Oreochromis niloticus: one gene and its partners. The protein of the gene in region 1 interacts with the protein of each later gene in a pairwise test. Links are inferred from orthologs where the notes say so. Each region holds a gene or a part of one and is shown in the gene's direction. Other genes may lie near its edges.

The links.
Region 2: the proteins of arl6ip1 (region 1) and tufm interact in binary tests that used the Homo sapiens proteins (3 or more experiments, as listed by UniProt). The two-hybrid records come from large-scale screens. The link is inferred for Oreochromis niloticus from reciprocal best matches to the Homo sapiens genes ARL6IP1 and TUFM.
Region 3: the proteins of arl6ip1 (region 1) and sucla2 interact in binary tests that used the Homo sapiens proteins (3 or more experiments, as listed by UniProt). The two-hybrid records come from large-scale screens. The link is inferred for Oreochromis niloticus from reciprocal best matches to the Homo sapiens genes ARL6IP1 and SUCLA2.

The regions. Positions count from the first base shown.
Region 1 is NC_031969.2:32,733,672-32,741,094, forward strand, and holds the start of arl6ip1 (ADP-ribosylation factor-like protein 6-interacting protein 1), read left to right. Parts: upstream 1-4,324; 5' UTR 4,325-4,454; coding exon 4,455-4,490; intron 4,491-5,266; coding exon 5,267-5,400; intron 5,401-7,077; coding exon 7,078-7,197; intron 7,198-7,423. UniProt on the Homo sapiens protein: Positively regulates SLC1A1/EAAC1-mediated glutamate transport by increasing its affinity for glutamate in a PKC activity-dependent manner.
Region 2 is NC_031969.2:14,219,973-14,227,894, reverse strand, and holds the start of tufm (elongation factor Tu, mitochondrial), read left to right. Parts: upstream 1-4,821; 5' UTR 4,822-4,917; coding exon 4,918-4,954; intron 4,955-5,689; coding exon 5,690-5,736; intron 5,737-5,825; coding exon 5,826-5,964; intron 5,965-6,081; coding exon 6,082-6,248; intron 6,249-6,366; coding exon 6,367-6,636; intron 6,637-6,905; coding exon 6,906-7,038; intron 7,039-7,747; coding exon 7,748-7,852; intron 7,853-7,922. Other genes in the region: hspbp1 (hsp70-binding protein 1), read right to left, coding at 189-269, 511-622, 716-812, 1,389-1,544, 1,946-2,170, 2,255-2,471, 3,720-3,839. UniProt on the Homo sapiens protein: GTP hydrolase that promotes the GTP-dependent binding of aminoacyl-tRNA to the A-site of ribosomes during protein biosynthesis. Also plays a role in the regulation of autophagy and innate immunity.
Region 3 is NC_031987.2:29,466,582-29,474,640, forward strand, and holds the start of sucla2 (succinate--CoA ligase [ADP-forming] subunit beta, mitochondrial), read left to right. Parts: upstream 1-4,958; 5' UTR 4,959-5,030; coding exon 5,031-5,114; intron 5,115-8,059. Other genes in the region: med4 (mediator of RNA polymerase II transcription subunit 4), read left to right, coding at 261-331, 858-924, 1,579-1,749, 2,116-2,173, 2,279-2,365, 2,451-2,582, 2,936-3,108. UniProt on the Homo sapiens protein: ATP-specific succinyl-CoA synthetase functions in the citric acid cycle (TCA), coupling the hydrolysis of succinyl-CoA to the synthesis of ATP and thus represents the only step of substrate-level phosphorylation in the TCA.

The DNA.
Region 1 (7,423 bases):
AATATAAAATTTTAAAAAAAAATCGAAAAATTAAATAAATTTTAAAAATGTGTGTGGAATAAAGTACTGTACAAGTAAAGATCCAAAGTAAAAATATATTAAACAAAAATGTAGAATTACGTTAAAAAAAAAATAATCTTAAAATACTTTAACTTAAATTAAAAAACAAGATTAGTGTAAAAATAAAGACACTATTATACGGGTTAAAATCAATAAATAAAAATAAAACAATAGTATAAAAGGTAGGAGTAGGAAAACCTGTACAGACAGTATTTGTTCCTACAATTATGCCGACAGCTCCCTGATCCTGAACAGCAGCTGAAGAAATTCTCACTGAGGTAAGATAACTTTTAGAAATCTTTCAGGATGTGGTTACGGTTCGACAACAAGAACTTTTCTCATAAAACGCTTCCGCTGCTAATAACCAAATATTCTGATGCAATGGTAGACGTTATAAAACTGGCAGTGTCTGAAGATTATTAGCTACTACCTGTTTAAAGCCTCAGACTGTCACAGGTGTGTCATTAAATCCGTTTCTCGCACTCTTTTTGTTTTTTGTTGACACGGGTTTGTTTGAAGCTTCGGTTCTCCGCAGGCTGGAGCAGCCTCTGAACCGGTTACCACACGCTGTGGGGGCCGGTGTGCGTCTCCGCTCGTGTTTAACGTGAATTCTTCTTCATTTGATCTGAATTTATTACCGCTAACAGTAATTTTTTGGCGCACTAACACGTGCGACATAACAGGCCCGCTGTTGCGCCTGATTGTTAAATAAGCTCAATTATGATGACTAGCGCCAACAGAACCGAAGTGATACGCAGATATATATATATATATATATATATATATATATATATATATATATTAAAGGAGTAAATGCAGCTTCTCTGACATTTGGTTTCCTTACCAACTGGCGAATGTAACGCCATGTTTCTAAAGGCCTCTCAACACACAGCGAAGCTAATATAGCTAACGTGTTTGATACGTACCAGCTTGTTCTCCGGGCGGGGGCGAAGAGAAAACGGCGTCTGAGATAATTTGGCGGTTAATAAGGTCCCTTACAATCACACGATCACAGAAATTAGATTATAATAACAGTGTCTTTAAAACAATGCAGAGATAAAGAAACGCTGCTAGCTCCGTTAGCTTTCAGATAGCCCCTCTGGTCTCCAACCGCAGGAAGAACGAGACTCACAGTGACGTCAGAAGCACGCAGGCGCGGATAAAGACTGACGCGTTCAGGTTCTGAAAGACAGAACCATATTCACAAAACAAAACAAAAACTACACCGTTCTGTCGTTATCCCCAATACATGAAAGTCTGGAACCGGCTGTTTGCAAAGTCCGAGTCTCTGATCCTATGGGTATCATCCAGTAGGCACTGCATACCTTGGATGGAGCCAGCTTTATAGTCCTCTGAATGTCGATCCTGCTCCCTCTAAAGGTGTGCTTGCCTGGGTGGCCTTGCAGGTCAGCTGCAGTCCTTCAGACACATCCGTCATCATCCGTTCCGTGTCGATAAAATCCAAATAGGAAGGGAGTCAAATCCTTGGAAGTTGCAATCCAGCAGGAAACAGACAAATGCTTTGACGTTATAATCCAACAAAAATAAGCAGAAAAAAGGCCAAAAAATATATAAATCCAATTTGTGAGTCCACAGTATTGCACTTTGATCAGCTGGCGTTTTTTGCTGTAATTTCCAACTGTGAATTCCCAATCCCAGATCTTCTGATACTGAAACTAGAGGAAGAACAGCTTATTCCGTCTGCATGGGGTGTTTGTGCATGTTCTTCTTCTCTATCCTCCCCTCCTTGATCTCCACGAGACATCTATGACACCTACATCACTCTATGCTGCTCTCTCTCTACAGCCTTTCAAATACATGATTTAAAGCAAAGTTCAGTCACTTTCATTATCAGTCACAAATGACTATACTTTACTTTTCATTCAGTTTTTATGTTGTTGTAGGATGAACATCATCACTCTTTATGATTCTAACTTGATCTCTTTTTAACTCAGTTAGGAATACTTTTTCTCTGCATGACTCGGCATTTGTGACTCACAGTATACTCAGTATCACTTGTTTTGTTCAGAATCATGCATGATGATGGGCCGGAGTCACATTTCACTCTTTTACACGCACACTCTATCCACTGTGCTCTCTCTCTCTCTCTCCCACACACACACACACACACATACACACTGAGTCAAGGATACATCATAGTCATAACAATGCTCCTGGAATCTGGGTGAAAAAAATCAGGCATCTCAAAAACTGAAATTTGGATTGTAAGGGACGTTATTACGCTAAACTCAAACTACAGTTCTCATTCATTATATTGATCAGACTTATACTTGATTATTTTCTGATTATAATTATAAATCATTAACTGTTTCAAAATCATGTACTCTGTTTTAAAACTCAGTGTGTCTTTAACAATAAAGGAGCTGGATGTTAAGTCCTTTTACTCCACTTTTTGGTAAAGATGAGCCTGGGATGTCAAATCTCTTTGACATTATTTATATATAGATCAGAACATGAGTTTATTTTATGAAGAATTTACAAAAATATGAGGAGAAATGTATTGAGAACATAATTTCTTATAGGCCTAACTAGGTTTGTGTCCTTTGAGTGCCAAAAACAGAAGACAAGCTGCATCTCTCTCCTTTTTAAAATGTTCAATACAGTTCTGTTACTCCCCCTTCCTTCTGTCTTAACACAAGGCTGGAATAAATTATTTTCATGCTGTCTATGTCTATGTGACATGTTAAGAGGATGAACGAGGACAGTGATGAGGGGTCCTGAGGTGTGCAGGCATGAGATTCAAGGTGGGGGAGATCACAGGGTCATGGACTATGATGTTTACAGACAACATTGTGATTTGTAGTGAGAGTAGGGAGGAATGCTTTACACGTGTGTGAATGAGGGAGACGGACGTAACAGTAGCATGATCTGACATCTTGGCGTTGTTCCTACATCATCATAACGATGGTGGTCCAAGATCAGCGTCACAACTGACCAGTGATGTTGTCTGAGCGTGCAGTTAGCATTAAATGACGGTGGCTAACACTAAACCAGAATTGATCATATATTTATTGTATTGTATAAATTGTATAAAAACACTTGGACTGCAGACCATTTGTTCCAGAAGAAAGTTTTATATAAACAAAGGAATTTAAAAAAAAATCCTATCATATTGCAAAACTATGACAACAACATGATTCATTAGTTGCAATGTTGATCAACATTATTATGATAATGTAGGTACAACACCAAGGCGTAGAGATAGAGGTCACAGCAGAGGATGTAAAGAAGCTGGATTATCACGTGAAGAAACAAAGCAAGACCTTCCTGTAGTGAACTAGTTTCCTTTCATTTTACAATACTGATTTCTTTTTAATTTATAAAATCTCCCAAATTAAAATAAATGGTAGTTTTCATTAACCTGATAACATTTCAAGTTTCTACTTGTCCCAGAAGACCGAGGTGGATGTGGAATTTAAAAATGATCTTTATCCTGTAGAGGGGGCTGTTTAATGGCTTTTGGACTGTGTTAACGCGCTGCAGATACTTCATTACAAACTTTAAACTGTAATAAAATGCAATAAAAAACGTGTATTTTCTCAGCAGAAAGTGTCAGTAAAGCGCAAAAATGAGCATGCCTTTAATTTTAATGGTGACATCATTTCTGTAACGCTTTTTTCAATAAAAGTAAAGAGAAACTTATAATTTTTTTTGATATTTTCTCAAAGTTTTCTTTCTTTTTTCCTCTTTAAAAATGGGATTTAACTTTATTCTTAAAATGCCAAATTAAAATAAGCTCCTGTAATGCTTCCTTTTTCTTAATGTGTTTAGCTGTTGTTCATTTAAAATGAATTTAAAATGCTGCGTTACATTTTAAATTCTATTTTTTGTTGTTAAATTTGAAATGGTGTACTCTGTTACGTATATGCTCTATTATGCAGTAACTTAATATTTTTAATTTAAAAGTATGCTTTAACTCTCTTGGATTTCATATCAGATTGTATCTTATTAAATTATTATTAATGTATTAATCTTTCGCTTTAGCTAATTAGCTAACACTTCTTTGTAGTTATATTAATTTGTTCTTATGAATATGGGAAGTTTAAAGAATAATAAATAATTTTTGAATATATTCATTGTCATTTTTTATTTTATCTTGATAAAATTTATGATTGTGAATAAAAGATTATGTAAAAAAAAAAAAAAAAAGATGTTTTCGACAGGCAAGGATCAATATTGGAACTCCATTACCCAGAGTGCCTCTATGGACAGGTGTGACGTATGTTTTTCAGTTAAAAACATCCTGCCTCGGCTCGACCGTTAGTGGCGCTGAAGCTAACGGGAGCGGAGGGTGCTGTCCTTCTGTGGGTCGTTTCTCCGAAAACTCTTAAAAGAACTCCACATTAGAAAGTAGACCGCTCAGTTTAGCGATAATGGCGGAAGGAGACAACAAAAGCATGAACTTGATGGTAAGTATGAAGCATTTTTAAAACCCACAATGGCGAATTTAAAGGCTCGTGTTCGATGTAGGCGTGTTTGCAGCAGGAGCGTTAGCCTTACCCGTCGCTGCTAATCTGACGGCGCTAACACTACTGCGCTGTTTAGAGATTTGTGTAAATAGTGTGAACTTTACACATGCGGGCAGCTGAGAAGTCTAAGCTAAGCGATTTAACCCCGATCGCTTATCCGTCCGTGCTGCCGCTGACCGCAGCTAACCTTAGCTAGCTGACTAGTTAGCATGCTTATTTTAGCTTCAGTAGCGGGGACGCTTCCTTTTTGTGGAGCTGCTGCCTCGCCCTAACGCAGAAATCATTTTAAAGCTTTTAAAAAAAAACTGAGATCGAGTCATCACACGCTCATTCGACGTGGTTTGACAGCCTGTGTTTGTCCCCGGTTATTTCTACGTGTAGTGCTCTGTCACTGCGCCGTCTTATCACCAAAGACACACACCCTGTTTATTAATTTGCTTCTCAAATAGACTTCTAGGCCACAAAACACACAAACTGAGAGCCATATAAACGAGTATCGTTACATTCAGTTGCTCTGTGTATGAAACACAGCAGGATAAACCCACATCATATGACTTCAAAGGTGCTAGCCGCTCTTCCAGAGGCAGCACAGTACTGTCACCTTTATACTAACTCCTGGAGAGACTGCCCTCCTGAGTACACGCTCCTCTCAGATCACACTGATATCACACAGTTTGATGGTCAGTTAGGTAATGTGTAAATGTTTGTGTGTTCAGGCCCAGGAGACGGCCCAGCTGGAGGAGCAGCTGCAGTGCTGGCGAGAGGTGATCCTGGCTGGGGATCAGGTCCTGCGCTGGGAGAAGCCCTGGTTCCCCGGAGCGCTGATGGGTGCGACCACCGTGCTCTTCCTGTGAGTCTGCTACAGAGTGTGCGCTACACAGCTGGCACCACACGTTTCCTTCCTCTCAGCAGTGATGGCTATCTGAGAGCAGGGAGAGGCTTATATTAAATTTTTATATTTTACATCTGCCAGCGACTAAAAGCAGCCTGGTTTGAACTCAGATGGGCTGAGCAAAGTAAACCACTGTAGCATTTCTCATATTTGTTTCTTCCAGTATAGAGAGGTTTATTCTGAAACCCCCAGTAAAGCTAACAGCACACAGTGTTATGTCTTTGGTCAGCTATCTTCCTGATTTAATCAGCAGTCTGATGGTTGGTTGACCAAAGATTTGCATCACAGTATTTTACGATTCTGGTGGATTCCATGGATTTATTTTTTTTGTAGTATATTTTGTTTAAGTGGGTCTTTATGTAGTTTTACCTTCTTCTGTCAGGAGTATAAATTATTCAAAAACTACTTTAAGTATTTGACATAGGGCTATAATCACATCATAACTGTAAGTCTTTTCTGTTTTTGGGTTGGTTGTAATGTCACTTTTTCTTACAACTGTTGTGTACAGGTGATTCTGTCTCCAGGTGAAATCTCCTCTCTTGGAGTATCTCCCCTCGTTTTTCATCCTTCATCTGTCTGTACTGCACAGAGGCCTTCCTGTCTGCTAACATACTGCTAGAATTGCGCAGCAGCTCTAAATGGTGTAATTTAGGATGTGTAACGTGTTAGTGGTGCACAGCAGCCATTTCTATGTTTGCTCTGTTGAACTGAGTTAGCTTTGGAGTTTTGTCTGCTTTTGTAAACGTAAATGAGTCGTATAATTACAACCATGAGTGAGCAGGGTGCAGAGCTAATACAGGTCCACTTTCAGTGTGCTGCTTGTGGTCAACACACGCGCACACACACACGCACACTCTGGCTCTTATTAAAACCACTAGAAAAACCACGGTAGACATTTTAACTGTTTATTGTAGTGTTCAAGCTCAGACCATGATGTTGTCAGAGGAGCGCCACCCGGCACTGCAATTACAAAACTGCTAACCAACAGCCTCAGTTGTTTTTAGATCGATGAACCGAAGAAATCCAAAATGACAATAATTTTGTCTGTTAAACTTGACAAGTCGCACAACTCTCTTTCAGACACTTGTGCTCTTGGTTAGTAAAGCAGGCGTCACCACAGAAAGAACAGCAGTGTAACCGTCCCTCGGGGTGAAATGGAGGCTTTGGCAGGCTGATTCTGGCATTGAGTTTTGACTTATTACTAATTAAGATGATCAGCAGGCCTGTGACAAGTAATATAAGCCTACAGTGATGTAAAACCAGTGTCCTAATTACAGTTTTCCAGCTGGTTGTCAGAACACTCAGATTAATGTTAATCTTTTCCACACTGTTGAAACACAAAGCAAAACAATGCAGATTCTGCTAAATGAGCTTAGGTTGGGCCGTTATTAGCGATTCCTGAAATCTACTGAAGGTGAATCCAGACTAGAACACTGCTGCACTGTTTCTGATGCCTTCCTGCTTGTTTCACACACCCTCAGTGTTCATGTCTTTCAGCTGCAGGTGCTTTGTAAAACTGCAGCTCCAGCGTTCATGAGCAGATATCCCCAAATTGTAACAAAATAAAAATAAAGGCGTGATTTTAAACGATGAAATGTTCAAACCCGTTCTGCCTGTTTTGTGTTCGTCCTCCAGGCTCATCTACTACTTGGACCCATCAGTGCTGACCGGCCTGTCCTGCACCGTCATGCTGCTCTGCCTGGCTGACTATTTGGTGCCGACCCTCGCCCCCCGAGTGTTTGGCTCCAATAAGTGGTGAGAGCTCGGTCATATTTGCTTTGGCCCAATGAAGACAGGTTTTCCTGTTTTGTCAGTCGGTCACATCACACACTCTTTATGGGAAGCTGAACAGCAGGATGAGTCATGCATTCATCTTGAAATGGTGTCCGAGTTTCAGAGATGACCTCCAGCTTTGGTCTTTGACGAAAACTGAATTGTGAAACTTTCCAGAGTTGGAAGTTTAAGGCAACATTTTGAAATT
Region 2 (7,922 bases), about 19 Mb from region 1:
TTATTTACACAGTGAAATCCAGGTACTGGATTACATGCAACTGTCGTAACAGACCAAACAAACAAACAAACAAACAAAAAAAACATGTCCCAGCTCATGAATTTTCTGTTATCTTTTCATACTGATGCCAAAACATGTCAGGGTAAAAAAAACAAAACAACAAAAAGCAAACAAAGAAAAAAAGAAAATCAACGATCCATCCCAGCGTCATCTGACTGCTGCCCGGAGAAACACATAACCCTGAGTCGCTCACAGAAATCAAGTTCTTCCTGTTGGAAACAAACATGTGACTTTAAGAGGCAGAAATGGAAGATTCAGCTTTCTTATTTTTATTTTTTTAAACAAATTCAGTTATATATCTCTTCATTGTTTACAACTAGTTAGCCTTTAACCACAATCACCTCTCTTTTACATGGAAAAGACACATTTCATGACAGAAATTAAATTTTGTAGCATAACCACAACATTTCTATCCAGTTTTACGATCTGATTCTCAAACACATGAATTACCTGACTTTCTTCTTTGCCTTGGAGCTCTTTGGATCTCTGTCGGAGTAATTCTTCCAGGCCCAGAGCAGGATTCCTGCAGTCTTTGAGCCCTTGTGGAAAGTCTTCCACCAGACTACACCACCATCAGAAACAAGGACGGGTACAGTTACTAATACAATCCATGAAATAATGTCAGATTTTCAGTATCATAATGAATGTTTCTTACCAGCAAAGGGCACCAAGCACATGTTCATGGACGGGTGAATGCGGTGTACGGAGAACTGATACCAGCTGCTGTACCATACCCATGGCGACAAGTGTGTCTGTGGGGGAAATAATCAGGAATATACTTGAGTTTATGTACATCAAGCAATATTTTAAGAAAAGCTTGTAAACCTTTAGATAGATGTTTAACGAGTAAACCAATTAAAAATCCAAAGTAAAAGATCTGATGTGGTTCTTCTTGTTATGGTCTACTATGTATGTGTAGTTAAGAATAAAATAGTTTTTCCATGTTTTCCCCGGACAAAGGTAGCAAGCTCAGTGAGAAACACACATACCGCAAAGATAAAACTAAAAGGGAGAAAGTATAAAAGTTTTAACACAAGATTTAATTGTTAAAAAATCTTTTTAAAAACTGTTTATGTTATTTTACCCTTTAACTGCAGAACTTGCCATATTGGCGACTAATCATGGATGAAGAGCAAAGCTGTGCAAAAACTTAAATAAAATATCTTCATTTTCCACAGAAAAGGTGGCTCTATAAGCTGTTAGAGACATTAATAAACCATGTTGTGTCTTAATAAAAGGCTACAAAGTGTTGTATTGTCAAAGTAAACCTACTGGTACTGGTGCAGGTTTACAGCACTATCCTGTCTGAATGTCCTTCCCATCCATACCTTTCTGTTCGGGATGTGACGTCAGGAGATTGAGCAACAGGAAAGCCGACTTGGTTCTGAGCTTCTCGTTCTCCGACTGCATGCCTCGCATCAGCACGGAGAATCCATCGTGGGACAGGAAGGCCTGGAGACCTGCCTCCTGCTCTCGAACCAGACCTATGATTACGACAGGACACAGTTTTGTTGAGTGTTGTGAAGCACAGAGCTGGGACAATAAGACGGTGCCATGTGCCATTTGGCACTTAAGAAGAAAGCAGCAGATAATTTAGGGTTAAAGTTGAATTGAGAGGAAACATGAGATATAACAATATCATAAACATAGGTGATACATTTGGGAGGCTGGCCACTAAAAATAGCTGTTGAATAGCCTGTCCATCTAAAACATCAACTATGGGAACCAACTGTTGACCTCACTAAAATTCTCACTGTGACACGGACAATCCGAGGTTCTGGATCATGTATGTAAAATGACTGATGTGCAGCAATTTGTTGCAGACTTGTTGTCATGAAGTTCAATTTTGAAGCAAAACAGACGTGTGTGTTATGGCTCTACTCACATGAGACAGCGTAAAGAGCTTTCACCCTGACGGTGGGGTTTGGGTCTGAATCTGTCAGCTGCAGCAGCTTCGGCAGCGCCCCGATGCTAAGCAAGTGGAACTGCAGCTGTGGCATGTTCTGGGCACAGGAGGCAATGAGCTGGGCAGCACGCCACCTCAACCCACTTTGGGCATGATTAAGATACTGGGAGACGCACAACTCCAGCCCACCAAGGGTCATCAGGTCTGCAGAGGACAAGATGCGGTGAGCAACCAACAGTGAACACATGCTGTCTTTAGCGTGGCCTCTGCTCTAATACCATTTATTACCTCTGGCATTGTCCAGATTCTCACACAGCTCGGACAGCATCTCAAAGGCCGTTTCCCGCTCATCGTCCTCATCATCGTCTTCCCTCTCTTCCTCTCCACCCCTCTCCCTTTCACTTCCTTCTTTGCGCAGAACAGCCAAGCACTGCTTCATCTGCTCGACTTCATCCATCTGCCCTTTGCACAATTCTGTAAGAGCTTCTCTCAGCCATGTTTTCCTCTGGAAGAAAGAAAAAAAAAAAGAGCGTGAAGCAGTTTGTCATGCTGAATTCAAATTCTCTGATGTGATACCTCCAAACACGCATTAACAAAAAAAATAAAGGATGAGGACATCAGTGTCTTACTCAAACACATGAGATTTCAAGTGATGTGCAATTATATATTACTGTACAAAAGTCTTGAGTCACCCCTCATTTCTTTATATTTGACTTCCAAGAAACCAGACTTTCTTTGAATTTTTAAGCAATAGTTGAGCAATAACTCTCCAGGATTTCCAAAGATCTTTCAAAGCTTTTCTTTCAACATTGGCTTCTTTATTAAAAAACTGATTTTCAGTCCAGTCCTTGTACCTGACCATTTTTAGAAGAATGTTTCTTCGTTAGTCTGCTGAGCCACTTAACATTCAAGCACAAACAAGGCATCAAACTTAAGAGATGATGCCACTGCTGTGTCTTCACAAAACAGAGAACTTAACATAAAACAATTTAACACTGTATCTTTAAACATTGTTACAATTTCTTTAGCTGAATTTTTTTTTAATTTCAAAGACAGAACCGTTTGAAACAGTGTTTTAGAACCAACACGGTCATTCCCAGAGAGCTGCATGGTGTGCAACGTTTCCCGAATTTGAGGAAACTGCAGAAAGGGAGGACACAAGAAGAAGAAGTAGCACGCCTGAAAAACTAACTACAGCAAATTAACAGTATACATAGCACTATAGTTTTAAGATATCGAGCCCCTAAGTAGTATCAGTTATTGGCTGACACCTGAATAAAAACATTTGTGATGGATCAAGCTAAGAATTTAACTCTGAAAAGAGAACATCATTGATGGCATTGGTATTTATTTACTTATCAAATTTAAAAGTTCATGGTGGGATGTTTTACAAAGTGGAGCAACACATCTTACCAAATGCTCCTGTATAAACAAAAGTATTTATTATTGTTGTTGTTATCATTTTTGGACCCACTCTACTACGTTATTATTACTATATTATTGTAGGATCTACTGTACAATATAAACCGCCTTGAGGCGACTGTGGTTGTGATTTGGCGCTATATAAATAAAACTGAATTGAATTGAATATCCCCATGCAAATGAGGGTTTATTCTACTTATTTAAGCCTCAGTTTTGTCAAAGCCACATTATGAGGCTAAGCTACAAGAGTTACACTGCAGTGGTCCTGGTGTGAGCTACAAAGTCTACAAAGGTCATCTGGCCTGATCCTGCTTAGGGAACAAGTACTTACCTCTTCTGACATGGGTTCAGGAGGGGCAGGACCCTCTGCAGCGGATCCAGCCTCCACTGCGAGCTGAAGGACCCCTTGGAGGTTCTGGGGATATCTCCTGGTCTGCCTATCTTCTGACATGGTGTTAACAGCTACAGGGTAAAGTGGAGAAAAGAAAGTCAACTAAAGGAAGATTTCAAAATAACCTCAAGTTAATTTAAGTGTACTAGCAGTGGTACCAGGTAAAGCCCCACAGTTTATATCACCAGGATCATACTTTACTATAAACATACAGCTCTGCTAATAATACAAAACCTGCTGCTAGCCTCATATAACTACGGTTATCGTTGCCCACTTACCTTTAAACCGACTCCAAAACAACGTAAAGTTAACAGACGAAGTTTCTCTCTGAGCTCAGATACAGCTCTCCCCCTCTATAAACACAGAAACGTGAAAGCGCTGGAACGTTCTAGCTAGCTCTTCATCTCACGAGTGGCAAGGGGGGCGCCATGTTTTACCGTAAAAAGTAAACCAAATGGGCAAGCAAAGTAATTTTTGGATACTCTTTACTCTCAAATCAAAGTCATTTTAGACTTTCCATTTTTTGCTTTAAAGTCAGCCTCTCAAAATTATAATGGTGAACATCTGACTGACAGTATTACCTCAATATTTAAAAATTCATAGACGCAAATGTTCCTATACTAGTATAGTTACGGTAATCCAGTAACGCTGGTACGCACAATTTACAAAGAGAATTAGTTACATCAAAATAAATATGCAAATCCCAGAAGAAACGTGTCAGAAGAAACTATGAAAGGCATATCGATTGCGATATGTTTGGTATTATTTATGTATCTGTTATAAAATACACACAACTTAATAATGAATGTAAAAAATAATATTTACCTTTTAGATATCAGTAAACATATTATTAACAAACATTAAGTTCAGGCTACTTGGGATTGCTCTCTTATTTTTGTCATAATAGCTACATAACAGATACTTTCTTGTTTTAATGGGTTTTAGTCTTTTGCTTAGTCTAATGTAATCATTTATAATAGTAGTATTAGTAGTAGTTACGTTAATAGTTACTGTTTTGAACATTTTACGCACCAACTTAAACATGCGCATGTGCATGTACGTAAAAGAACGACATCATTGGGGCTGGGAGATTATTTTCTTGAATTCCGATCGCCTTTGGTTTGTCTAACCAGCAAAGATGGCGGCGCTTGTGGGGCTGCGTGCGTGTTTGTCCGGTAAATATTGTTTAATTCATTTAAACTATGTCACTCTGTTTGCATTTCTGACAGTTAATTGATTTACACCACCTTTATTGATTTATACATAATATCAAACACTGTTCGGACATTTAGAAGTACAAGAATATGAAAAATAAAATGTGATGCTGTGTCTTCCGACAGCAGAGCAAGGTCACGTTACCAGTGACGGTTAGCTAACAATAAGACTAACCGAGGATGAAGAATGATTACTAAAATCAGCACCTGGTAACCAGACACGAAGGGAAACATACTGTTGATATAGGTAGTCTTTAAAGAGAGGTGAAGCCGTCCTTTTTGGTTCTAAAGGCATCAAAATGGATTAATGTTAGCTGCAGCTGTTAGCATGATATAACCTGCCTGGTTTATGCAAAACTCTTTTTATTAGCGCTGTGTCTGGCACAGAAGCTTCACGGCCAGTGCGAGTGCAAAACATCCGGAGCTGTGCAGCCAATGCTGACTGAGATTTTCAGGAAAAATGTGTGTGGCCGTCAGTGCTAATCTCATTTATGTGAGGGCACGCCTGCACTGATTGAAAGGAAAATGAAGGCATGAATAGCCAAATGTTCAATGACACAGAATTAATACGTATTTCCGAATTTTAAAAAGGTAAATAGTTTAAATATGTTTGGCAATGTTTTAATTATTGTGTTGTGGCACCAAGTAGTCACTCTTTATGTAAGTTTGTCCAACTTTTTGATTCCCTTTTCTCAGCCCTTCAGCTTTCTTCACCAAGCCTCCTGCACAGCTCCTTCAAATTGGTAAGTAGTTGCACAAACAGCATGCTGCACGCTGTGAAGCATTGATTTTTTGCAGTGGTTAAATTATTGGGTTCTTCTTTGTCACGCAGTGTGCTGTGCCTCTGAGCCGGCGAACCTTCGCTGCGGAGGCGAAGAAGACGTACAGCAGAGACAAGCCCCACGTAAACATTGGGACGATCGGCCACGTCGATCATGGCAAAACCACCCTGACGGCAGCCATCACAAAAGGTAGACCCACTCAAGCTGCTGCTGTCACACCGGTCTGGACACAGTCTCATGTTAATGTGTGTAATAACTTTGTTTAGTCTACAGTGAATTTGTTTCACTCAATTCGATCCTCCCCAGTGCTCGCTGATGCTGGTGGGGCCCGCTACAAGAAGTATGAGGACATTGACAATGCCCCAGAGGAGAAAGCCAGAGGAATTACCATCAACGCCTCACATGTAGAATACACCACAGCCAACAGACATTATGCTCACACAGACTGCCCTGGACACGCTGACTATGTCAAGGTATTCTTTTTTTTTTTTTTTTCCCCTTCTTTAACCTGGATGCAGCCTGATGTTACCAGGATGTAATCCCACCTGTTTGTTTGATGTTATAAGAAATGCATCTGCTTTTCTTTTTCAGAACATGATCACAGGCACAGCTCAGATGGACGGCTGCATTCTGGTGGTGGCAGCCACTGACGGCCAGATGCCTCAGACACGTGAGCACCTGCTGTTGGCCCGGCAGATCGGCGTAGAGCACGTGGTGGTTTTCATAAACAAGGCGGACGCTGTAGAGGACAAGGAGATGCTGGAGCTGGTGGAGATCGAGATCCGCGAGCTGCTCACAGAGTTTGGCTACGACGGCGAGAACACACCCGTTGTGATTGGCTCTGCACTCTGTGCTCTGGAGGTGAGGAGAAACGCTTTGTACTTGCAAAACAGTCGCAGCTCTGTCAGTCAGGGAAGTTTCAGAGTAATTTAATCTTGACATCCAGAAGTCAAAATTTTAGGTTATCTGAAATATTCAGGTTCTGAGAAAATAATTTGAATTTTCAAGCTGTCAAGTCAAAATTTTGAGGTAACCTCAGGCAAGTTTGTATTTCGTCAGTGGTGGAGAACAAGTTTCAAGCTAGAATGTGATGTGTTTTAATTATAATTTTTTTTCCCCCTCTATTTCAGAACAGAGCTCCTGAGCTGGGCGTGAATGCAGTGATGAAACTGCTGGAGATTGTGGACTCGTACGTTCCTCTGCCCAAAAGAGAGCTGGAAAAGCCTTTCCTTCTGCCCATCGAAGGGGTTTATTCAATCCCAGGTAGGAGAAAACACTATCTGATATTGTCAGTCTGAAGCTAATTGGGTAGGAATAATGGTGATTTCTCTTCATTTCCATTGGTTGCGTCATGTAAAGTGGTAGGCAAATGGAAAAGCGAAAGAAAATGATAAACTTTTTAAACCAGGATGCAGAGCTCAAAATATCCAAACATCCAAATCAAGATTCACTCTTTTAAGAAATAAGGCTGAATTTTTAACCATCATTGGGTCCGTTACTTCCTCAGGCTGTCTTCATGCACAACAATTATAAAAAAGTACAAAAAAAAGCAAAGTACAAATAAAGATTTAAAGAAATATATACAAGAAATTAATATGCAAACAGTGAAATGAGTCAAAAGGACCTGAGCTTTAAAATCTGGGTATCAACTTTGCCATAGAGATCGATGCTCCAGTGATGTATTGTGCAGTTTTGTCACATGTTGCAGAGCTTTGCTGTACTGAACAGTGCAGCTCCCAGCAAAGCTACAAAGAAACATTTGTATGGTGTTTTTGTTTTTCATATCCCACCAATGACGTCTTCAAAGTTAATTTTGTCATAATGCAGTCACAGCTTTGGAGCATCAGCAGCACAACTCATTAGTGATTTTACCAATTAGCAGTAAGAAGATTGCAGATCTCTGACTCTTTCGCTCTCAGTTCAGAAACAGTGTCGTGTACTTTGAGTCTGAAGGTTCCCGCTTGTGTTGCAGGTAGGGGTACGGTTGTGACGGGCACTCTGGAGAGGGGCGTCATCAAGAAAGGAGACGACTGTGAGTTTGTGGGCCACAACCGCAGCTTCAAGTCTGTAGTGACAGGTGAGAAACCTCCTATGGTGTTAAGATATGAAATCAGAAATATGAAATAGATAAAACATGACAGCTTGCA
Region 3 (8,059 bases), on another chromosome or scaffold:
AGGCACCATAAGTCTAGATTAGAATATGGCTGCCAATAATACTTTTTTTTTGTTTGTTTTTTTGGGGCTGCCGATAATACTAATGTAATAACGCCAACAAATGCTACGGAAGTGAGAACAGGAGTCATATCTCTAGCATACCCTAGAGACCAAAACGCAAATTGCCCGAAAACAATAAAGAAGAAGAAGAAGAAGAAGAAGCATTAGCATGTTGGAACATCATTTCCTGTCTTGCGCAAACCAGAGGAAAGAAAGTAAACATGGCGGCGGCGGAGAAATCGACGAAGGAGAGACTACTGTCTGTGCTGGATGATTTGGAGGTTTTATCCAGGTAAAATTAAACTTCGTGTGGGGGCTTTCTTGTGTCTCGTGTAAACGGTTTGGTAAGCTATCCGTATTTTATCTGTGAAGAGATAAAATACTCATATTTGGAGCCGTGAACTAGCACCCCCAGTTTGTGCTGATTACTAGCAGACATGCCGCTCACTGGCCGAAACAACGGCTTTTCTGAAAGAAAGATAACGAACCCTGGGATTTGAAACAACCTGAAACACTGTTCTAAGTCTTTTCTTGGAAACTTTTAGCAGTTAGAAGACTGAGTGTGTCCATTTTATAAAACAAGGTTGCTGAAGAGTTTGTAGGTACTACACTCAGCGGCTAATAGTCATTTTTAAAAGGAAACTACCACAAGAATGGCCAAAATGACTAATCAGAGAAACAAAGTGAACATAGGCGTACAGAAAACGATCGTCAGTATGAGCTTTAAAAAGTAAATAAATATATAAAGATAGAAATTGATTTGTTGGATTGAGTTGTGCTGTTTGACCCATTTCTCATTGTGTGTGCGTTCATTTCAGGGAGCTGATAGAGATGCTGGCCCTGTCCAGGAGTCAGAAAATGCCTCAACCTGGAGAGGACACGCAGGTAACACCCCACTCAGCCTGCAGTTGACACACCGAGATTTAAACAAACTAATGACCCTCACAGTGACCGTCAGACCATGTGTAGTCTTAGGGTTAGTGGTGATCAAAGCTTAGCCAAAGGCCTTCTACAAGCAAGTCTCACTATGTGGCAGCTATTCTAAAATGTCTCCAGCTATATATTTGGTCAGTGTTGTGAAACACTGTCCAGTTTGATACTTGTCTGCCACTCGGTGTCTGTATTTTTCCAGTTTCTGGTACTTGATCTTTAAGTTCTTTGTGGACTTGCACAGTCTTAAGTTTTTTGCTTTTTGCTGTTTTAAAGTTTTGGTGAGACATGATCACTGATACAGGATCACTGTTTCTTTAAGGACAAACCCTGTGCTTAATTGCTAACCATAATTTTTTAGATTTAAGCATTTAATTTTAATGCGGTCACATTTGAAGATATTTAGTTCCTTCCAACTGATTTTCTGTCGTCTTGTCCATAAATCTTTCATAACTTTTGAACCTTTTATTGTGTCTGAGTCTCCAGAGAATGCCTAAAATTATTTTACAAGTTAGACTTGACTGATTTTAGTTAGTTACAGTAACCTGTATGAAGCGTATCAAATAGGAAATCTTTGATAACAGAATGTGTATATGCTTTATCCATAAGATTCTGGAGCTGTTGGTGCAGAGGGACAAGGAGTTTCAGGAGCTGATGGAGGTGGCACAGCAGCAGGGGAAGGTTCACCAGGAGATGCAACTGCTGGAGAAGGAGGTGGAGAAGAGAGACAGTGACATCCAGCAGCTCCAGAAACAACTGAAGGAAGCAGAACACATCCTGGTGGGTTTGGCTTGTCTGTTGTTTTTAATTTTTAATTTTTTTTTTTTCATCCAGAGCAGGGCAACGCTGACAGATTGAAATAAATGCTCAAATGTTTTAAGTATGCTGGTGTAGCTGACACTGTGCTCTTACAGCAGAGGCGTTCAGGGTTATAGTGTTGCTATTGTAAATGTAAAGGGGCCTATGATTCTCTTCTTTTTCTGATTTACTTTGTTACAGATGTACATATTAAACATGGTCAAGGTTTAAAATAATGAGGCCAGCATATGAAGAGTCATGATAAACAGAAACTACATCTTCTTTAAATTCTAACATCATGTGACAAGTGATAGAGAGGACTGATATATTTCTGTGTATCTCTTTCAGGCCACTGCTGTTTACCAGGCAAAAGAGAAACTGAAATCCATTGAAAGAGCCAGGAAAGGTGAGGGAACACTCCCGACACGTTCTGGTGAAAGCTGTGTTTGATGGCTGGTTTTCTCTTTGATGTCTTGCTCATAAATTGACACTGTTTACATGTTCTCTGCAGGAAGCATCTCATCAGAAGAAATCATCAAGTATGCTCACAGAATCAGTGCCAGTAACGCTGTGTGTGCTCCTCTCAACTGGGTGCCAGGTATGTGCCAGGCTCTCTTGTAGCTCCCACCGGGTGTTGGTAAAAAGTTATGTTCAGCTTCATTCACTGTCATCATACTTGACAGGTGATCCACGCAGACCGTACCCTACCGACCTGGAAATGCGTAGTGGGATGCTTGGTCACATGGCCAACCTGTCCACCAATGGTGTGAATGGGCATCTGCCAGGAGATGCATTAGCTGCTGGGAGGTTACCAGGTAAGTCCAGCTGAGCAGTTAAAGAAAGGAGTGCCCATGCCTCCTGGCAAAGAGATTGTAGATGAGGTCAGAGGTTTGTTACAGTGATTTCAAAATGTATAAGTTAATAATTTATCGTTATAATGATAAAAAGTTAAAGGATGGATCCATTATTTTTCTTTTTATCAAGTATAAACACTGAACACAGATTTTATTTGTTGCCATTCAGACTGCATCCACATCATGTTCTGTAACATAAGAAACTTGGCAAAAAGTGCCAGCTTTCAGATACTATATAAGGGAGCTGAGATAAGTAGTGTCAGTCAGTGTCTGGCATTTCACAGAATAACCACTTTTCTCTCGTGTCACTTCAGACGTCCTGACGCCTCATTACCCGTGGCAGTCGTCTGATGTCTCAGTGGGGATGCTGCCCCCTCACCACGGCAATGACTTTGGCCTGGAGCCTCCGGGTCACAACAAGGAGAACGAAGATGATGTAGAGGCCATGTCCACAGATTCTTCCAGCAGCAGTAGTGACTCCGACTAAAAGTGTGTCTCAGAGTCAAGAGACGCTGAGACGTGTGTGTGTGTGTGTGTGTGTGTGTGTGTGTGTGTGTGTCTGTATGTTGGACTCAGAGCTCACCAGCGAGCAACAGCTGAGCAGGCATTTTCAGCTTCAGTCATTTATTGTGCCTGTGAGAAATTGATTTTTTAAATTTACCCTTTTTGAATATTAGTGAGTTTATGGTGTTAGTAGGTGGATTATGTTCCCTTTGGACAGAACCAGGCTAATTGGTGTTACTATACAGTTCAGTGAAACTACTGTATAAACTAGAACTAGCAAAAATGAACTTGTCATTCTGGACAGATCAAAGAATATCCTTCAGAAAACAAAGACCAGAGCCACAATAATTTGCCTTCTTTTGCTCTTTGGTGACACCGTGTGTATGTGTGTGTGTGTGAGAGACTTGATATCTAATTTTAGTTGGTCACGGTCAGAATGTTTGCAACGTAGTATATAAGTTGTGTAAATATGTCTGTAAATACTCAGTCTTGTAAATAAATACTTTTTGAATACTATTTTTCTACTCTTTTTTTTGTGTCTGGAATGTGGATTTGTTGTTTTGTTATTAATGTTTAGGAACACCAACTTTCAAATGTTCCTGAACACCATTAGATGGAAGCAGATACAGTCAGAGATCATCTCATCCATTACGGTTCAGTACGTTTCATGGTGCAAGGTGTTGTCTGTATGTTTTTAATTGTCAAATCTTAAATTTGAAAATTAGAACTGACACATATGTGCTGGAACACTATTTCCCACTGGAAGTGGAAGTAGAAAATAATGCAAAAGCGCAATAAGTACATCAGGGCCATCTTGCATTTGGCAACTTTTTTGAGTGGAAAGATGAGGAGATAATAGAGATACAAGCCAGAAATGAGCACTGGGTAGATATGGTTTCATTTCTTGTTACATAGAAGTGGAACTAATGTAAGAGTGCAACACGGTGCCTACATGTTTTTTTTGTTTTGTTTTTTTTTTAAAAACCAGCCATGAGATATGGCTTCGTTTATTAATTTACAAGTTTATACTTGACACTAAGAATTGTATTTATTTAGGTTAAAGGTCGGAAGGAGTCTTTATTTACAGTATGTTGAGGCAATGATAGTGCTGCCTTTAGGAACTCATTGTAAAACACTATGTTGTTGTATACTGTGGTTAAAGATTGAAATAAAGATTTGTTTTTGCAGTATGCAATTAAAATTATGTGACGTAGCCAATTTGAGTGTTTTCAGTGTTATGAAAAGGGGGAAATAGGCATGAATTGGATATTTAAAACAAATAAATACATTTAGCTACTTTTTAAATGCTCATTTTTATTCCTTAAAGTAAGTACACGTGTCTTCAGATATTTGAACACACACCAGCAGTCATTCATCCTAAGCACTGTACAATGGTAGTAAAAGGGCCAGATTCAGAAAAAAACAATAAAAAATTTTGTTCATATTGAGATTTCGGCCGAAATTTCATCATTACACTCGAAAAACTATTTTGAGGGGAAAAAGGCGAAATGTGGAGATTGCACACCGTGTTTATGGTTAAAAATAAACAATTTACTTGTAACGTAAATCGATTCTGAAGTACGATTTTACTTGCTCATCTACGCAAGGCACTTTGCAGAGGGCTTTAATCTCTACATTTCGACTTTATTCTCAAAATACTCATTCGAGTTTTAAAAAAAAATAGTATTTTGACTTTTTTCTCAAGAAGGTTTTTCGATTATTCTCAGAATAATCATATAGATAGATAGATAGATAGATAGATATTAATGTGGCCATAATATTCCTTTCATGGGACTGAACGTCAATTGTGGAATTTCCGACAGCATTTGAAATTGCCAGTGGGGAGGGTGTCTTTGGAATTGCACTACGCATGCGTGTTCAATCCACTTTGCTGTAGAGGGAGACATGGCGACGTCCCTGATTTGCGGCCGTTTGACGGCTAGCCTGAGAACTTCAGGGGCTAGAAACACTATTAGCTCCGCTTGTAAGGTAAGTGTGTATCCACAATGGAGGAGAACGTTTGGGCTGTCGAGGAATGTGTCTGTTATGGCACCACACCTTCCCCGAGGGTTAAAAGTTCTCCGAATCTGACAGGGTCAAATTTGACATTAGCACAACTCCATTGAGTTTCCGTTATTTTGGCTAACACGCTAACTAGCACATAGTTAGCATGGCCGGCTGTCAAATCTGCAGATCAAGCAGTAAAAGGCCAAGGAATCCCTGTGCCCTTAGTCTTTTCTGTAGCCGTGCACTTCGTGTGGCTGTGAACGGCATTCTTGGTGGAGGATATGCTCAGTGAAGCTCAGTGACCTCCACCGGCAGCTGCTACAGCTTCCATCCCTGCGATTCCTCCCCTGTCACATCTGTCCCGCTGGGTCTTCTTGGAAAGTTAACTGGACAAATCCGCTCAGGCTCGGAAGCATAAACAGCGTTCACCGCAGAGATACGCTGTAAATATACAACGGGGGGAACAGCAAGATAAAATGACGGAAGAGATCTAACCGGGAAGAGCGCGCAATTCAACCGGGAGTCCATTACACCAGGGCCCCCATAAGATAGAGCCTGACCAGGAAAATTCTGAATACTCTACACCGAGCAGAATGACGTTATTTATGTCGTATCGGTGGGAGGCTTTGGGTCTCGACACTCTGGTGGATGTTCTTCTAACACCACCAGCCTAGACATCGCTGCAGACACCTGACACCACAGGAGAAACCCAGTGGTCTCATGGCTGTGCTCTGGCAGTCCGGAGCTGTTTTGGAAGCATGAAGAGGACTTACACAATACAAAACAGCTGGTTTTAGTGTTTTGTCTTATCGGTGGTAAAAGTATCAGCATTCTTAACAGAAGTCTCTGTGTCATCTTATTGAAAGTTTGAAATGCATGTAAAACTTATTTTGACACATTCCGTTCAGATAACATCAGGAAAGCTTTACATTTGTTTTACTAAAAAGGTATCTGCAGGTTGTTGAAGCTCTCTAAAAGCACTGCATTCAGTTCTTTTCTCCAAAACTCAGAATACACTGTTTAGTGACAAAATATTTGCATTTTTTTTCAGCTAAAAAATTTATAGTATACTGGTTTGAAAGATGGTTGAAAGGTGTAATATAGATCAACGAAAAAGAACAGTGATCTTTAAATGGTTTCATTCTTTTTAGGCTACTTGTCAGGACAGTTTGCCTACACTTATATTCATCAATAGCAATTTTTGAGTTATCCATCTGGAAATGTGATATAATGTATATTGTAATTGCAGTATTGTTCTGGTTTTTCACTTTGAATGGTGTAACAGTGAAATACTACATGTGCTACACATTATGTGGTTGCAAGAGGGACTTTAAAAGTGTTACTTGAGTAGCCAACAAAAAGTCTTCAGTTGCTCCCTTTTTTTTCTGTTCATTGTAATCTTGATAGTGTGTGCACACCTATTAGAGTTAATAATGTCTGTTTACACACACTTTTGCTTGTGATATAATTTTATAGAGTGTGTAAAGGTAACAGAACGAAGTAATGTTTGACTAATTGTCTGGTATCTGAAACCTCAAAAACCATTACAGGTTTAGTTCTTCAAATGTCTTGTTTTGTTTTAGCTAAACACTTACTTCAGTCACAGGTACACCATACTGGTACCTGGGGGGACGCCTTTTGGTCTTCAGAACTGCATTAATTGTCCGTGGCACAGATTTAACAAGTGGCTGGAAACATTCCTCAGAGATTTTAGTCCATATTGACATGGAGCATCACACAGATGCAGATTTGTCAGCTGCACATTCATGGTGTGAGTGTCTTGTTCCGTCCTGTCCTAACGGTACTCTGTTGGAATGAGATCTGGTGACCGTGGAGGCCATCTGAGTACAGTGAGAGCTTTTAAATGATGATCAGTTTGTACTTAAGGAACCAGAATGTTCCAAGAAAATATTCCCAACACTATTATACCACCTCATTAGCCTCAGCTATTGAAACAAGGCAGGATGGAGCCTGTTACGGTCAGCTTTGATGCTATCATCTGAATATCACAGCAAAAATCCAGAATCATTATTCTGTTGACTGTTTTTGGTGAGCCTCAGTTCCTGTTCTTATCTGACAGGAGTGGCACCTGGTGTGAGCTTCTGCTGCTTTAGTCTGAGTGGTTAATGGAGCTACTGTTGCCTTCTTGTTAGCTCAAAGCAGCTGACCATTCTCCTATCACCTCTGACATCAACAAGAAGGCATTTTTACCCAGAGAACCGCCACTCACTGGATGTTTTCTTTTTCAGTAAACCCTAGAGGTGCAGATCAGCAGTTTCTGATACTCAGACAAAGCCCATCTGGCAGCAGCAACCATTCCACCATCACAGTTACTTAAATCGCTTTGTTTCTCTGGTCTGATACTGAGTTTGAACTTTAACAGGTTGTCTTGACCATGCCTATTTGCCTAAATGCTGATTAGATATTTGTGTTAATAAGTAAATATGTGAAGCAGGTGTACCTAATAAAGCAGCCAGTCTTTTTTTTTTTTTTTTCCATGCTTCAACCTGCATAAATCTGGAATTTCATGCACTGTTTTTTGTTTTTTCTTGACCAAAAATGAAAAGTTGTATTTTTCTTTTGGTCCACTGATTTAGTTGAGGAAATAAACGTGATTGTCTAATGCCCAGCTGACATGCTTCGAGTAACACTTTGTTTCACATCCTTGTTAAAATTTCCAGTGTTACTTTTGTGGTCCTACGGACTGTGAATGATTCTCTCTTCCTCTAAGGATGGTAATGTTTTGTGGTGTAGGAATTTTATCTTGTGGGTTTAGTATCTGTGATTTTCACATGTTGCTCTAGCAATATTGAGCAAAAGTTCTTCAGCTTTTGCTTAACGAGTGTGCTGCCATGGCATTGTGTGATCAGATTTAGGACATTTTACGTAGACTTTAAATAAATCCTTTTTTTATGGACAGGAACAAC